Macaca fascicularis: one gene and its partner. The protein of the gene in region 1 purifies or fractionates together with the protein of each later gene. This does not show direct contact. Links are inferred from orthologs where the notes say so. Each region holds a gene or a part of one and is shown in the gene's direction. Other genes may lie near its edges.

Region 1 (8,636 bases):
TTTTTTTTTTTTCTTTTTTGAGACGGATTCTTGCTCTGTTGCCCAGGCTGGGGTGGAGTGGTGTGATCTCGGCTCCTTGCAACCTACGCCTCCTGGGTTCAAGGGATTCTCCTGCCTCAGCCTCCCGAGTAGCTGGGACTACAGGTATACACCACCACACCCAGCTAATTTTTGTATTTTTAGTAGAAACAGGGTTTCACCATGTTGGCCAGGATGGTCTCAGTCTCTTGACCTCATGATCCACCTGCCTTGGCTTCCCAAAGTATTGAGATTACAGGCATGAGCCACCACACCTGGCCCTTTTTAGTTTTTATAGCTGCATAAAGTTCCATTGTGTGTTCCATCATTTTGTCACCATTATTCTACTGGTTGAAATAGTTCCCCCCCTAATTCTTTTGTTATCACAAATGATTATTACATTGTACATATATGCATGTGTAAATATCTCTTATATATAATTGGGCTGGGCACAGTGGCTAATGCCAATAATCCCAGCACTTTGGGAGACTGAGGAGAGAAGATCACTTGAGCCCAGGAGTATGAGACCAGCTTGGGCAATACAGCAAGACCCTGCATCTATAAAAAAAGAAAAGAAAGTAAGCAAAAAAAAAGCATAATTGCCAGTTGCAAGTTATGGATATTTAAAGATTGTCTTTTTTGAAACCTTTTATTACAGAAACTTAAAAACATATATAAACTCCCTACAAAGGTGTATCTGTGGTTCCCTGTCTTTGGACACATAGGATGGTATTCCTGTTCTCTATTTCATTTATTTTTGTTCTATTTTTTCCCTCTGCTGGCTCTTGGTTTAGTGTGTTCTTCTTTTTCTAGTTTCTTAAGGTAGAAGGGTAGGTTATGGAGTCAAGATTTTGTTTTTAAAAAATTGATGCTTATAGCTATGAATTTCCCTCTAAGCACTACTTCAGCTGCATCCTGTAAGTTTGGATATGTCGTGTCTTCAGTTTCATTCATTTTTGAGGTATTTTATAGTTTTCTTTTGATTTTTTTCCTTTAACTCATTGGTTACTTATGAGATTATTGTTTAATTTCTACATATTTCTGAACTTCCAAATTTTTTTCCTTATTCATTTCTAATTTTATTCCATTGTGGTCAGAGAACACACTTTGTATGACTTAAATTCTTAATTCTTTGAACGTATTTATTAATGTAATGGCTACTTTTAAGTCTTTGTGAGATCCAACATCTGGGCCCTCTCATGGGCGGTTTCTGTTGCCTGCATATTTTTCCTATATATGTTTCATACTTTACTGTTTCTGCATGTTTTGTAATTGTTGAAAACCATTTTAGATAGTATGTTGCAGTAACTCCAGATAGAAATTCTTGCCCTCCACCCCATGGCTTTTGTTTGTTCAGTGACTTGGCTGAACTACTTGAGTGGAGTCTCTTTCCCTCACAACATGAAGCCTCTAGTGTCTTCTCAGAGGGCAATCTTGGCCCTGCACACAGCCACACTAGATGACAGTGGTTTCAACAGGCTCTTTCTGACTGTTTCTTTCATGAATTTGTTAAGCCATCTGCCTCTGCTGGTATCACCCCCAGCTGTTAGGCTCCACTCATTGCCAACTAATTGCTTTATTGTTTTCGACATGTGGGGCATAAGTTGTTCCATAGTTTAGTCCAGTTAATTGTGGGCCCCTTTGTCAGGCTAGTTTTTGAGGGCAATATGTAGGTTTGTTATGACTCCAGGACGGCTCTCAGTTGCCCTTTCCCTGGTTCTCTCTGTTAAACTAGCTGTCCCAAAGTTTAGCCTGTTGCTATCACGGAACAATCAGCCTCCTTTTAATTGCCTCCTGCCAAAATCTCTACATTTTTGAAGTGCCTGTAAGCTTGAATTTCCCCATACTCTGTTTCATATTAAGTCAGGTCCTTTGGAGAATGTTAGAGCTGTGTGATCTTATGGACTGCCTCTCCTGCTGGGCAAAATCTCCCAGGCCCTGCTCTGGAGTTGGGGTCAGGAACAATGGCTTGCTTCCCTTGGAAGGACATTCCTGTTTTATGAGCAGGGAGCTAGGCAGGGATGACAGCCTCTACTCTCTAAGTTTGCATCTCCTTTTGTGAACCCTCCACTCTCTGAGCAAGCTTCAGTGAGGGCAATCAGGGCCCTGATACTCTTGTCCCACTGCACTTGAAGTAAAGCCTCTGCCCTGTGGGTGGGGCTGGGTGGAGGAAGGGAGCCCTTGATCTTTTTTAGGAATTTAGTTGCTGTACCTTGGAGCTCGTGGCCCTCCTGGTAAAACACCATATACCATATCTCATGACTGGATATTAAGAGAATAGGAAGTCCCTCCCCCCTTCCACCACCCCACCCCACCTTTTTTTTAAACTACACTCACCTGCTGGAGTGGAGCTTTTGTCAAACTGAGCTATTGGGTGGGGTTGTAGTAACTCCAGATAGAAATTCCTGCCCTCCACCCCATGGCTTTTGTGGAGGGAGCAGGTCATGGCTCAAGTGCTGCAAATTCTCACTATTCAAGATTTAGTAGCTGGGCATGGTGGCTAACACCTGTAATTCCAGCACTTTGGGTGGGAGGATTGCTTGAGCCCAGGAGTTTGAGAAAGCCTGGACAACACAGTGGGACCCTGTCTCTACAAAAAATTTTTAAAAATTAGTTGGATATGGTGGCACACACCTGTAGTCCTACCTTGGGAGGTTGAAGTGGGAAGATTGCTTGAACCTAGGAGGTTGAGGATTCAGTGAGCTGTGATCGTGCCACTGCACTCCAGCCTGGGTGGCACAGTGAGACCCTGTCTGAAAAAGAAAAAAGATTTAGTAGATTTTCTTGAGTAAACATTTCCTCATTTGTTATATGTCCTTAGGAAAATTTCCAAAGAGTTTAAATGCTGTGTGTTTTTTTGTTTGTTTGTATTGAGACAGAGTTTTGCTCTTGTTGCCCAGGCTGGAGTGCAATGGCACGATCTCAGCTCACCACAACCTCCGCCTCCCAGGTTCAAGTGGTTCTCCTGCCTCAGCCTCCCAAGTAGCTGGGATTACAGGCATGTGCCACGAGGCCGGCTAATTTTGTATTTTTAGTAGAGATGGGGTTTCTCCACGTTGGTCAGGCTGGTCTCAAATTCCTCACCTCAGGTGATCTGCCTGCCTCGGCCTCCCAAAGTGCTGGGATTACAGGTGTGAGCCACTGCTCCTGGCCATGCTTTGTGTTTTTAAATTTTCATCAGTTATGGAGTTTCCCTGTGGAGTGTGCGAAGTCCCTCATGCTGCCATTTCAGAAGTAGGACCTCTCCCACTTTTTGTTTGTTTTTGAGACAAGGTCTTGCTTTCCACACAGGTTGGAGTGCAGTGGCATGATCTTGGCTTACTGTAACTTTGATCTTCTTAACGGAAGATCCCTTAAGTCTCAGTCTCCCAAATAACTGAGACTACAGGTGCACACCACCACACATGGCTAATTTTTAAAAATTTTTTGTGGAGATAAGTCTCACTATGTTGCCAAGGCTGGTCTTGAATTTTTGGCATCAAGCCATCCTCCTGCCTTGGCCTCCCAAAGTGTTGGGATTACAGTTGTGAACCACCAGGCTGTCTTTTAATAGTTATTTTAGAAATTAGAATATTGCATGCTTAATTTATCAAAGGCCAATCAATATCTTTACCCTCTTTCTGAATGATATAAGAATCTTAGAATTGTTTGAAGTTTTTAACCATATACACATATATGAAAAATACATATTTATACACAAATATATATACACTTTAAAAAATAATACAGGCCAGGCCTCATGGCTCATGTCTGTAATCCCAGCACTTTGGGAGGCTAAGGCGGGTGGATCACCTGAGGTCAGGAGTTCAAGACCAGCTGGGCCAACACAGTGAAACCCCATCTCTACAAAAATACAAAAATTAGCCAGGCATAATGGCAGGTGCCTGTAATCCCAGCTACTTGAGAGACTGAGGCTGGAGAATCGCTTGAATCCAGGAGGCGGAGGTTGCAGTGAGCCGAGATCATGCCATTGCACTCCAGCCTGGGTGACAGAGCGAGAATCCATCTCAATAATAATAATAATAATACATATATAAAGCAAATATAAGTATATATATATATACACACACAATATTTGTACAAAATAAGAATATGAAACACAAATTGGTTACCTACAGTTAAACTGCCTGAGTTCAGTTCCTGTTTTTACCACTTAAAAGCTGGTCAACCTGAACAAGTGCCTTAACTGCATCACACCTGTTTCTTGAGGCACGAAGTTGAGATACCAATACCCCTTCACTGGGTCTTTGTGATAATTAAGTGAGCAAATTTATGTAAAGTGCCATATGCACAGTGTATGCACAATGCTTGACAGATAATCAGTGCTTAGTAAAGACACCTGCTCTAAGAACTAAAGCAAGTTATTGTTGGTGATTAAGTGTATTCACCCTTTCTGTCCTGGCAGTTCCTCTGTGACGAGGGTGCAGGTATTTCTGGGGACTACATCGATCGCGTGGACGAGCCCTTGTCCTGCTCTTATGTGCTGACCATTCGCACTCCTCGGCTCTGCCCCCACCCTCTCCTCCGGCCCCCACCCAGTGCTGCACCCCAGGCCATCCTCTGTCACCCTTCCCTGCAGCCTGAGGAGTACATGGCCTACGTTCAGAGGCAAGCAGGTGAGTAATTAGAGAAGGAGGAGAAGATACGGGGGTAGGGGGCGGCAAAAGATCAAGTATTGAATAGCCAGAGGAATGCGTTCCTGGCCTGCTTGCATGCTGTTTCTCAGTAGACTCAAAGCAGTATGGAGATAAAATCATAGAGGAGCTGCAAGATTTGGGCCCCCAAGTGTGGAGTGAGACCAAGTCTGGGGTGGCACCCCAAAAAATGGCAGGTAGGACCTTGTTTCACCTGTTCCATGAAACTCGCTTCCATTTTTTCCCTTCCCCTGATCTTACTGTCCTGACTGACTGGTGGGGTGGAGTGGGAGAGTACCATGGGCCCTCATCCCTTGGTGATAGAGGAGGGGAAGGGACCCCATCCTATTTGCTCCTTTCTGTCTCACCCCTCCTGTCAGATCAATGTCTCCCTGTTCTCTGTACCCTAGGTGCGAGCCCGACCAAGGATGACAGTAAGGACTCAGATTTCTGGAAGATGCTTAATGAACCAGAGGACCAGGCCCCAGGAGGGGAGGAGATGCAGGCTGAGGTGAGACCAGCTGCCTCAGAGGAGCGGGATGGGAATGGGGAGGGTCACTGTAGCTGAGGTCATTGTGAGGTGACCTACATCTACCTAGGGATGCAAGGATATCCCCAGAACCTTTGCCTTCATAGTATGGAGGGCATGAACAGGCTTTCATACTTGACTCTTTCCTTTTCTCCTTGTCAGGAGCAGGACCCAAGCCCTGAGGCAACAGATTCAGCTCCAGGTGCTCCCAATGGTGAGTGAACCTTCCATGTCTCCTTTACCATATATATTTTAGGATTGGCAGGGATAGAGATGGAAGGGAGAGCTAAGCACTGGGAGGGAGATTGAGTAGCCAGGCCAGCAGCAAATTCATTTTTACAGGAGTTAATACTCTTTGTAGACAGCACTGCTATTTTAGCAAGGTGGCAGAACACAGTAGCTCCACCACTTGGTGACTTTGTAATTCACTTAACCTCAATTTTCTTACCCATAAAATGAGGGTAATAACCCCTACCCTAGAGAGTTGCACGGGATTAAATGAGAATGCATCCATAATTCATAGTAGAAGGCCTGGAACTGAATAAACTAAATGGTTAATATTTGTGGAAAGAGGAGAAGGGTTCCAGGGAAGATAAGTCCTTAGCCCCAGGATCTCCTCTGTAGTCCTAAAAGCTGGAGTGACTGCCAGAAAGGCCTCAGAAGTGCATGGAAGAGTGGGGACTTAGCAGCTTGTTGGCATCCATCTCTCCTACCGGAGTGTCCACCTTAGAACAGTGCTCTCTGCAGACGAATGTTTGCCCTTGTCTCACTATTTAACAGGTAAACCCTAGAGGCAGGGACCGTGTCCTTCCTTGATCTCTCATTACCTGTCCTTAGGAATCCAAAGAGCACTTAGGAGTGCAGTAGCGCACACCTGTAATCGTAGTTACTTGGAAGGCTGATGCAGAAAGATTGCTTGAGCCCAAGAATTCAAGATCAGCTTGGGCAACATAGTAACACTCCATGTTGAAAAAGAGCCGGGTGCGATGGCTCATGCCTGTAATCCCAGCACTTTGGGAGGCTGAGGCAGGTGGATCACCTGAGGTCAAGAGTTTGAGACAAACCTGGCCAACATAGTGAAACCCCATCTCCACTAAAAATACAAAAATTAGCTGGGCGTGGTGGCAGGCGCCTGTAATCCCAGCTACTTGGGAGGCTGAGGCAGGAGAATCGCTTGAACCCGGGTGGCAGAGGTTGCAGCGAGCAGAGATTGCACCACTGCACTCTAGCTTGGGTGACAGTGCAAGACTCCGTCTCAAAAAAAAAAAAAAAAAATTTAAACACAACAGAACTGGTTCATGATTATTACTCTTTCATCTCAGATTTTCAGAACAACGTGCAGGTCAAAGTCATTCGAAGCCCTGCAGATTTGATTCGATTCATAGAGGAGCTGAAAGGTGGAACAAAAAAGGTATAGGCCATGCTCAGGGAATGGGTAGAACCCACCTCCCAACTGCGAGCATTTGAAAACCTACGCTGACCTGGGACTCAACTCCTGGGTCCCCCAGTACCACACACCTGCTACTATTTGTCTGCCCCCCACCATGTGTCTCTGTTGAAACTCCAACTGTCTACCTCTTTCTCCCCACTCCCTACCCACCCAGGGGAAGCCAAATATAGGCCAAGAGCAGCCTGTGGATGATGCTGCAGAAGTCCCTCAGAGGGAACCAGAGGAGAAGGAAAGGGGTGATCCAGAACGGCAGAGAGAAATGGAAGAAGAGGAGGACGAGGATGAGGATGAGGATGAAGATGAGGATGAACAGCAGTTACTGGGAGAATTTGAGAAGGAACTGGAAGGGATCCTGCTTCCGTCAGACCGAGACCGGCTCCGTTCGGAGGTGAAGGCTGGCATGGAGCGGGAACTGGAGAACATCATCCAGGAGGCAAGCCCAGCTCCTCCTCCTGTAATTCCACAGCCGCCTGGTCCCGTGAAGCAGGACAGGCTGAGGGACTAAAAGAAACAGAGAGCACAGCACAGGGCAAGGACGGGGCACTTGGAAATGATAGCTGTTTCCCTAATTAATCGGGGCTATTGGGGAAGGGGGACCAGAGAGAGGCACAAGACTTAAATATCAGACTCTCTGGCCAGGCACAGTGGCTCACGCTGTAATCCCAGCACTTTGGGAGGCCGAGGCGAGCAGATCACCTGAGGTCAGGAGTTCAAGACCAGCCTGGCCAACATGGTGAAACCCTTTCTACTAAAAATGCAAAAAACTTAGCCAGGCATGGCAATGGGCACCTGTAATCCCAGCTCCTTGGAAGGCTGAGGCAAGAGAATCTCTTGAACCCGGGAGGCGGAGGTTGCAGTGAGCCGAGATGGCACCACTGTACTCCAGCCTGGGTGATGAGCAAAACTCCATTTCAAAATATCAGACTCTCCTACACAGCCCAGCCCGCTGGCTGCCTCCACGCCCCAGACCCTTGACTCACTCTCTTCTCTTGGGTATTCCAGACCGAGAAGGAGCTGGACCCAGATGGACTGAAGAAGGAGTCAGAGCGGGATCGGGCAATGCTGGCTCTGACATCCACTCTCAACAAACTCATCAAAAGACTGGAGGAAAAACAGAGTCCAGAGCTGGTGAAGAAGCACAAGAAAAAGAGGGTTGTCCCCAAAAAACCTCCTCCATCACCCCAACCTACAGGTGAGAGCAGTCAGACAAGAAGGAGTAGCCCAGTCCATTGTTTTCATCCCTCAGCTGGTCCTATTCCCAGAGGGGACCCTGTTCCTTCCCTTCTGAGGGTGCTTATTCTCTCCCCGCTTTCTGGAACACTGTCCTCACTTGCACCTGCTTCCCATCACCATCATCCCTTTGCGTGCTTACCTCCTATTCATCCCTCTGGGAAGCAGCTTTTAGAGCATGTCTGCCTGTTTTCTGGTTTGCTCCTGTACACCCAGTACCTAGCACTCTGCCTGGCACACAATGGATGATCAGTAGGTAGTAATTGAATGCTTGCGAGTCTATATGTGAAAACCACACATCTATGAAGGATGCAACCTGTCAACATTTAGGACTTTGCACCAAGAGAGTCCCCAGCTGTCAGGGCACGAATAGGAGAGCCCAGCCGCACATGAGCCAATAGCCTGGATAGACTTTAAATTATGTCTTCTTCTTGCATCCCCTTGTGTCCATTTCATAGGGTCCTATGGGTGTGGACATCAGATGTTCCAAATGAAATGTTCCAGTTTCAAACCCTCCATCCCATTCTCCCTATAAACATTGAAATGTCTTTAAAGTCCTAACATATGGAGGAGGAGACCACACTTTTCCAACCTGCTTCTTCAGACAAAACTTTGTTGGTGCAGGTGGCCTGCTTTTGGCTTCAGAAAACATTTGTTTTCCTATAGGTGATGGGCAGAATTATTGGGTAGGGTGGGAAGACGGAAGGCAGCAATTGGTGGAGGGAGCTCTATAGGCTGAATTGGGAGTGGGGGCACACATTTTTTTGAGCCCTGG
Region 2 (9,392 bases), on another chromosome or scaffold:
TATAGTTCAATAGGACACATTTCGTCTCTTAAATCTTCCAATCCATAATGACCATCATGGCCCATAACCTCAAAAGAGTAAAGTTAAAATAAAGTTCAGAAAAGGTTAGTTGCAATAAAACATTAGTTTTATTAATTTTAACAAGAAGGGGATGAAGCTATAGATGCATTTTTTTTCCTTCTTTTAACTATGTTGCCCCTTACAAGGTACAGCTTTGCCTTATTTTTCTCTGTCTGAGTAAGGATAAAGAGTAAAGGCCGGGCATGGTGGCTCACACCTGTAATTCCAGCGCTTTGGGAGGCCGAGGCAGGAGGATCACTTGAGGCCAGGAGTTTGAGACCAGCGTGGCCAACATGATGAAATCTCGCCACTACTAAAAATATAAAAATTAGTTGGAAATGGTAGCGCATGCCTGTAATGCCAGCTACTCTGGAGGCTGAGGCACAAGAATCACTTGCAATTCCGGAATTCAGGAGGTGGAGTTTGCAGTAAGCCAAGATTGCGCCACTGTAACTCCAGCCTGGGTGACTGAGTGAGACTCTGTCTCAAAAAAAGAAGAAGAAAAACAAGAAGTTGTGAGTAGGCCAAATAGTTCCAGAAAAAGCAGAAATCCACCACCCCCCCGACACACAGGAAGCGGCTCAGGAGGTGACGCAGAGAAGGAAAGTGTGTCTGCTGGGGTTTTGCAAGTTGGTTAATTTGAAAGATCCCTCAAGGAGGTAAACAAATGGTGCAAACTTCATTCATTCATCTCCTGGAAGATAAACTTCGAACACCCAACTAACCCCACCAATTAAATGAGTTATAGGAAGACAGACACAAGTGTCAATTATGCTAACAGAGCTCTGTGTTAAATACCCCACCAGCATCGCCTCATTTAAGCCTCACAACTACGTGGGAAAGAGACTTTTATCCCCATTTTACAGAAAACGAAACCAATTCTCAGAGAACTGAGGCCCTCCCCCAGATCCAAGTCCGCTTAGCTCCAGTCACCCCACGTCCTCTGCATGTCACAGGTGCTCAGAAAGATGCAGATGCACCTTCAGGAAGCCAAAATGAGCAGAGCCCCTAAAGAGCGGATTGACGGCCTCTTTCTGGAAAAAATGGAAGTTTGAATCTGAGGAGGTATCCCTCAACAACAGGTGCTGCTCACCAAGTCTGGGGCCAAACGCAGCAGCTGTTCTCCCACTTAGACCCCTGAGACCTGTCTATAAGGTTTTTCAGAGCGAGGACACATCCCCAAAGGTTGTGGCTTCTGGTGGTTAGCATTGACTTGGGGCCCATCCCATGCCAGAGGCTGCCCGAAGTGCTTAAATGTTATTACCTCATTTGATCTTCACAATCCTAACGGAAGTGACTCTTCTAAGAGTCTCCCTATCTCACAGATGAGGGAACCGAGGCACAGAGAGGTTAAGTGGCTTGTCTAAGAGCTCACAGAAAGAGCGGTGGAGCTAAGGCTTGACCCCAGATGTTAGATCCTGAGCCCATGCTTTAACCAGTGACCTGCACTGCCTCCCAAAGAAGGAAGCTGGTGCCTGGGAGGGAGGGTGCAGAGCGAGGGTGTGCATGGTGCATGTGTGTGTTTGTGGGGTGGCCAGCACTCTTCGGGGCACTTTGCCAATGAGTTCAGCTCCCCTGAAGTCCACTGTTGTTCTCCTGACCAGTCACTCAGTCTGGATTTACTTGGCCCAAGGCCACTGGCACCAGCCTGCCCAACATTGTGGCCAGGCTTACCCCCTTACCCGCTTCCTTGCTGCAGACCCCAAATCTTGACTCCTACATCCCTATCCAGCATATACCACGAGGCTCCCATCTCCGAGCAGGGCCCTGTGATGGGGCAGGGCCTCCCCAGATGCCCCTTGTTCATTACCAGCTCACAGGATCTTCCCATGACGCATTTCCTCTGAGGGGATCAGCCCAGATGCTGCAATAGACAATTCTGGAAGTAACCGAGTGGACAAGACTTTCCCCATCGTGTCCTGGGGTTCCTGGGGTCACAGTGTCCTTGTGAATGGCCACTGAGTGCTCCCACCTCCCCCTACCGCCCGGGGTTTTGTCCTGGTGCATTTTCCCAGATCATCCCAGCCCTTCCTCCCAGGATGGATGTCCAGAGCAGGGCAAGGGCTGAGCCTAGAGCCCTGGAACCAAAAGAACAGGACCCCAAATTCTGAGCCCCTTACTTGCCCCACCTGCTCCCACCCATGCTTTCTTCATTCCTCCTCCAAATGCCCCAGCTCCCCGCTGCAATCCCTTCTGCACCCAGCCAGGTCCTATGACACACACCTCCCCAGTGCACACAGACCTGCCCAGCCGCAGGGCTGCCCACTGGGCATGTCATAGGTGGCTCAGTCCTCTTCCCTCTGCAACTGGCCCCAGAAACCTGCCAGATGTTGGTGCCAGGTCTGTGCCAGGAGGGCAAGGCCTGTCATTTCTAGTAATCCTCTGGGCAGTGTGACTGCACCTTTTACGGTAGCTCAAAGGGAGAGGGTGACTCGTCCTGGGTCACAGAGCTGACAGGGTGGGTAGAACAGGTGATATGCAGGGCTTTCTGAGTTTATGAGGGCCCAGTCTTGTGTCTGCCTGGCAATGGGCAAGGCCCCTTCCTGCCCAAGCTCCCCGCCCCTCCCCAACCTATTGCCTCCGCCACCCGCCACCCGAGGCCAACTTCCTGGGTGGGCAGGAACTGGGCCCTGTGCCCAGGGCGTGCACTGCCTCCACGCGGCAACCCTCAGAGTACTGAGCTGAGCAAAGGAGGAGGAGGGGATCGGCACTCTGAGGAAGGCCTAGCCACTGTTGCTGCCAGGAATTCCAGGTAGGAGGGGCGGCAACCTTCTGCCAGCCCCCAGGCCACTCTCCTGTGCCTGCCAGAGGAGACGGAGCTTGAGGAGAGCAGGAAAGGTGGGACAATGCTGCTGCTGCTCACTCTGTTCCACAGATGGGAGGGACAGTGGGGCTTGGAGTGGGGGTCATGGCACAGATGGGAAAACGAAGGCTCAGAGAGGGGAAGAAATGCCCAGCAGGTACCGAGGGCAGGCGACCTCAACCACAGCCCAGCACTGGAGCTGTGAGTAGACGTAGAGTAGTAGAATATCCATTCAGCCAGCTCAGGGGAAGGACAGGGGCCCTGAAGCCAAGGCATGGAGCTGGCAGGGAAGAGAGCTCAGAGAGAAGGGGAGGGGAGTCTGAGCTCAGTTTCCCACTGCCTGAAAAGAGGGTGGTACCTACTCCCCTCACAGGGTAACTGAATGAGACTGCCTGGAGGAAAGTTCTTCAAATGTGGCCCACCCCACCCCAGTGACCCCTGACATGGGGGAGGAAGGACAGCATCAGAAGGGACTTTCCGGGCACACCCAGCACCCAGCTCTGAGCTGTCCTTGAACTGTTGCATTTTAATCCTCACAGCAGCTCAACAAGGTACATACCGTCACCGTCCCCATTTTACAGATGGGGAAATTGAGGCTCAGAGCAGTTAAACAACTCACCTGAGGCCTCACAGCCAGTAAGTGGGTTCCCTGGTCTGAATATGTGTGCTGGAGGATCCTGTGGGTCACTCGCCTGGTAGAGCCCCAAGGTGGAGGCATAAGTGGGACTGGTGAATGACAGAAGGGGCAAAAAATGCACTCATCCATTCATTCTGGAAGTATCCACGGCACGTACGCCAGCTCCCAAGCAAGTTTGCACATTGCACAAAGGGTGATGCAATCTGATTTAGGCTTTTAAAGGGATTGCAATCAAGTGGGGCCCTACTGGCCTCAACCCTGTACCACCCCTCCCTTCCATCCCCAGTAGTCCCCAAAGACCTCCATCAACCCCAGGATGGGGGCCGTATTCCCAAAGAAAATCCAAGCTGTATACGCATCACACTGATTTTCCAGGAGCAGAAACAGAAACAGGCCTGAGGCTGGTCAGAATTGAACCCCCTCCTGCTCTGAGCAGCCTGCGGGGCAGGCTAAGCAGAGGGCTGTGCAGACCCACATAAAGAGTCTACTGTGTGCCAGGCACTTCACCCAAGGCACTTCACAAGCATGCTTGGGAATGAGACTTCCAACTCTCTAGGATGCAGGTGAAACACTTCCTGGTTCAAACAGGTGAAGCGGCCTGCCTGAGACAGCATCACGCTTCTTTACAGATTTGCTCTCCCACCTCTACCCTGTCTCATGGTCCCCCATGCTGGCCTGACGCTTGTGTCTGCCTCAGTCATGCTCCATTTTTCCATCCGGACAATCAAGAGGGTTTTTGTGTCTAAGGCTGACTGGGTAACTTCGGATGAGCGGCCTCTCTGCTCTGAGCCTCAGTTTCCTCATCTGTCAAATGGGCTCTAACCCACTCTGATCTCCCAGGGCGGCATCAGTCTTCAGCATCAGGCATTTCGGGGTGAATTAGTAAATGGTAGATCTTGCTACCAGTGGAACAGCCGCTAAGGATTCTGCAGTGAGAGCAGAGGGCCAGCAAAGTGGTACTCTCCCAGCGACTGGCTGACTCACGCCACCCCCTCCACCTTGGACGCAGGACACTGTGGTTTCTGAGCCAGGTACAATGACTCCTTTTGGTACGTGCAGTGGAGGCTGTATGCTGCTCAGGCAGAGCGTCCGGACAGCGTGGGCGGGCGACTCAGCGCCCAGCCTGTGAACTTAGTCCCTGTTTGCTCCTCCGGTAACTGGGGTGATCTTGGTTAATATTCACCAGCAGCCTCCCCCGTTGCCCCTCTGCACCCACTGCTTAAATACGGACAAGGACAGGGCTCTGTCTCCTCAGCCTCAGGCACCACCACTGACCTGGGACGGTGAATCGTAAGTATGCCTTTCACTGCGAGAGGTTCTGGAGAGGCTTCTGAGTCCCCCACGGCCCAGGCAGGCAGCAGGTCTGGGGCAGGAGGGGGGTTGTGGAGCGGGTATCCGCCCGCTGAGGTGCCGGGCAGATGGAGGGGCTGCAGCTGGGCTCCTATTGTCGTAATAACAGCAGCCATGAGGGTTGTGTCCTGCTTCCCAGTCCTGCCCGGTCCCCACTCAGTACCTACTGGTGGATACACTGGCTTTTGTAAGCAGAAGTGCACGAGGGTGTCTAGCTCCGCGGTCCTGGCACCCCAAGATACAGCAACAGCAAGGAAGCGCAGCCATTTCTTTCTGTTTGTGCAGCTCCTGTGTCTGTCAGGGGGTTCCTATCTGTTGTCTCCTGTAAGCCTCACCACCTCTCCTACTACTTGGACACGCATCTTTTTCCCCTTCTATGGATGAGGAGGTTAAGGTTCAGGGAGGGGTGAGGAGGAACGCCGGCTCACATTCTCCATCCCCTCCAGATACGGCCAGGAACAGACCTGTGCCAGGTCTCAGCCTTACATCAAGGTGGGTCTCCCCCTGCACTGTGGACCTCTGGGCCCTCCTGTCCCAGTGGAGGACAGGAAGCTGTGAGGGGCACCGTCACCCAGGGTTCAAGCTGGCATTCCTGAATAATCGCTCTGTGCCAGGCCACGGCTAAGCTCTGTGCACAATTAAGCCTCATAACCCTCCAAGGCAGTTACCAGGGTGATTCCCATTTTACAGATGAGGAAGTTGGGGACCGAGTGGTTAATAACTGGCCCCAAATCACACACCATCCATAATTTGGGCTCAGGCACCTGGCTCCAGGCCCCGAACTCCTGAGCCTGGCCCTAGTGCTCACCGTTTCTCTCAGGTCTCAGGCGCTGGATGGGGAACAGGAAGCCTGGGCTGGACTTGAGGCCTCTCTGATGCTCGGTGACTTCAGACAGTTGCTCAACCTCTCTGTTCTCTTGGGCAAAACATGATAACCTTTGACCTCTGTCCCCTCCCCTCACCCCACCCGACCTTGATCTCTGGAGTGTTGGAAGAATTTAATTTTTCCTGCACTGAGTTTGGAGACAGGGGTCAAAAAGCTGACCAAGGCCAAGCTGGCCAGTTTCCCATAGAACGCCTCTAAAAGACCTGCAGCACTAGCAGCAAGAACTGGTATTCTTGAGAACTTACTGTGCACCAGGCACTTCTTGGTATTTTGTGCATATTTAATTTCACAATAACTCTATGACAAAGTCCACCTTTCTCATCTCCAGGAAACTGAGGTTCAGAGAGGTTAAGTAACGTGTCCAAGGTCACACAGTTAATAGCAAGTTGATCTGGAGCAATCTGGCCTGAGAGCCTCTAATTCTAGCCACAAACTGAGGCTGCCCCTCTTCATTTAGCCAGGCCACCTCTGAAATCTTCTGGTTCAAGACTTCTGGCTCCAGCTTTGTACACAGAGACTATTAAATGTCAGGTTTTGCAGTCACATCTGTTTAATCCCAGACAAAACATCTGGGATTAAATCTCAGTTTTGTAAGCAAGTAGCTCTGTGATTTTTAGTGAGTTATTTAATCCTCTTTGGGCCTCAATTTTTCTGTCTATAAAATAGGGTTCATCATTTACACCTCATAGGGTAAGCTTTGAGGACAGATTAGATGATACAGTGCCTGTAAATCGCCTGGTGTTAGTAAGTGTGGCAATGATGGTGACACTGAGGTTGATGTTTGCTTAGCATAGGTTAGGCAGCTAGCAGGCAGTAAACAAATACTTGGAGAATTTAATGGAAAATTGGCCAAACTCAGATGCTGTTCACTGCTGAGCAGGAGCCCCCTCCTGCTGAAATGGGTCCTGGGGAGCGCAGCAGCTGGCAGGAAGAAATCTGCCATCTCTCGGGCAGGAGCTCAACCTCTGTGCAGGCACAGGGACGGCTTCCGCACCTGGTGCCCACTCTCGCATTACGTCAGTTATTCCTCATCTCTCTCCAAGGGATTCTTTTCTCCACTGTATAGCTCTGAAGCCAATGCTCACAGAAGTGAAGTCATTTACCCCGGGCCCCCTGCCAGTAAGTGACAGGGCCTGGTCACACTTGGGTTTATTTATTGCCCATTTCAACAGGTCGTTTGACCATAGGCGAGATTCTCTTCCCTGCACCCTGCTGGGTTGCTCTTGGTCCCTTATTTTATGCTCCCGGGTAGAAATGGTGTGAGATTAGGCAGGAAGTGGCTTGCTTCCCTCTCCCTGGCCCTGCAAAGGGTGCTCCCACCTGCCCCAGTTCCAGAAATGTCACCATGAAGTCTTCATTCTTCTGTTTTAAAGCTTGGCCTCAGTGTCCATACACCATGGGGTACTTGACCATCTACTTTCTCCTCTCCAGCCGCCCTCCCAGGCACTAGCTTTTGAGGGTGCAGGGTGCTGCCTCTGATAGAAGGGCCGGGAGAGAGCAGGTTTTGGAGTCCTGATGCTATGAGGAACAGCTTGGGAGGCATAATGAACCCAACACGAAGCTTGAGACCAATGTCAGAGCCCAATTCTGCCATTCATCATCTGAGATTTGAGGGCACAGCTGTCTCAGTCCGTGATCTGAGTGCTGGGAAAGCCAAGACTTGTTCCAGCTTTGTCACCGACTTGCTGTATGGCCTCGACAAGGCCCTGACCCTCTCTGGGCTTCAAACTCTTCACTGTGAAAGGAGGAAACCAGAGGAGGTGATGTGACGCCAGGAAAGATGGATGGGTGTGGGGAATTGTGCTCCTCCCAGCTGTCACCCCCTCTCCACCCTCCCTGCACCAGCCTCGCCACCTCCTTCGAGCCCAGCAGCCTCCTGTCTAGGAGGGTGCCTCTTCTCCATCTGTTTTGCTACATCGAACCCAGATGCCATTCTAACCAAGAATCCTGGCTGGGTGCAGTGACACTCACCTGTAACCCCAGCACTTTGGGAGGCCGAGGCAGGCGGATCAAGAGGTCAGGATTTCAAGACCTGCCTGGCCAACATGGTGAAATCTCGTCTCTACTAAAAATACAAAAATTAGCCAGACGTGGTGGCATGTGCCTGTAATCCCAGCTACTTGGGAAACTGAGGCAGGAGAACTGCTTGAACCCGGGAGGCAGAGGTTTCAGTGAGCCAAGATCACACCACTGCACTCTAGCCTGGGGGATAAAGCGAGACTCTGTCTCAAAAAAAAAAAAAAAATCCTATGTTAGCATACAGAGGTCCCCAGTGAGGTCTTCTCCCAGCCCCACTTTGCACAACTGGGGAGAGTGAGGCCCCAGGACCAGGGGATGCTTACTCAAGGCCAAATGGATAGTGGTGGCCCTGCCAGGACTAAAGCCACAACTTCTGGCCCTAAGGCCACTCAGCGTATTTAGTGTCCCCACCCTGCAGAGGCCCAACTCCCTCCTGACCTCTGAGCCCTGTAATGATGGGGGAATTTCCATAAACCGTGAAGGACTGCACAAAATCCAGCTGGGAAGTGAAAGAGAAACCTAAGGGAGATGGAAATATACAGCACTAATTTTAGCACCGTCTTCAGTTCTAACAACACTAGCTAGTTGAAGAAAAATACAAACATGTATTATGTAGTGTGTGGTCCGTTCCATTTGGATTACTTAGAGGCAAGAGGGCCAGGAGAAAGGTGGTAGAGAGAAACCAGCTTTAGGCTTCATTTTGTTGCTTTACTGGAAAGAAACTTTTAACAGTCCAGGGGTCAATGAATCTCAATATTTGTTATTTCCAACTTTTTTCTCCAGTGTTTCATTTCCCAAATTCAAGGACACCTTTTTCTTTGTATTTTGTTAAGATGATGATTTTACTTTTGTGACTAGTAGTTAACTATGTGGCTGCCAGGCATATTCTCCTCAGCTAGGACCTCAGTTTTCCCATCTGTGTAGACAGCAGGTTCTACTTAGGGGGCTGCAGATTGATGGTCCGAAGTCTGGGCATATCTGGAGTAGAAGGAGCACTGTGGGGCATGGCAGGCTCTGCGTTGCTGTGGATGACACTGACTCTGACCATTGCTCAGCAGAGCCTGCTCTCGCCGGTTCAGCCACAGGCCCCACCACTCCCTATTGTCTCAGCCCCAGCTATGAAACATGTATTCCTCACTGGACTATCACCTGAAGGCTTTGAATTTGCAACACCTGTCAACCCCTCCCTCAAAAGGGTTGCCCTCTCAGATCCTTTTGATGTAAGGTTTGGTGTCTAGACTTATTTCACTAAATTCTTCCAACAGCCTCACTTCATGTATGAGGCAAAATGAGGACCAGGGAGATAAATGACGTGTCCTGGCTCATACACCTGGAAAGTGACAGAGTCAGATTAGATCCCAGGTCTATCTGAAGCTAAAAGAGATGCTTTTTCACTTCCCACCACCCCCATCTCCTTAAAGCAGCACAAAGCCTTGCTTCACAGGAGAGATGAGCTTCTCTAAAGTCCCTGACAGCAAGAGCCCAGAACTGGGACACCATTGGTGATCCAGATGGCAGGTGAGCTGACTGCAGGGACATCAGCCTATTCTTGTGGCTGGGACCACAGAGCATTGTGGGGACAGCCCCCTCTCTTAGGAAAAAACCCTAAGGGCTGAGGATCCTTGTGAGTGTTGGGG

Evidence for each region.
Region 2: the proteins of OS9 (region 1) and SERPINA1 purify together in Homo sapiens (affinity purification with western blotting; 4 studies listed by BioGRID). This does not show direct contact. The link is inferred for Macaca fascicularis from reciprocal best matches to the Homo sapiens genes OS9 and SERPINA1.

What each region holds. Positions count from the first base shown.
Region 1 is NC_088385.1:64,530,114-64,538,749, forward strand, and holds part of OS9 (protein OS-9), read left to right. Parts: intron 1-4,423; coding exon 4,424-4,634; intron 4,635-4,744; coding exon of another isoform or gene 4,745-4,747; coding exon 4,748-5,163; intron 5,164-5,343; coding exon 5,344-5,395; intron 5,396-6,503; coding exon 6,504-6,592; intron 6,593-6,785; coding exon 6,786-7,064; intron 7,065-7,633; coding exon 7,634-7,823; intron 7,824-8,636. UniProt on the Homo sapiens protein: Lectin component of the HRD1 complex, which functions in endoplasmic reticulum (ER) quality control and ER-associated degradation (ERAD).
Region 2 is NC_088381.1:162,412,744-162,422,135, reverse strand, and holds the start of SERPINA1 (alpha-1-antitrypsin), read left to right. Parts: upstream 1-4,747; 5' UTR 4,748-4,790; intron 4,791-5,135; 5' UTR 5,136-5,226; coding exon 5,227-5,342; intron 5,343-9,392.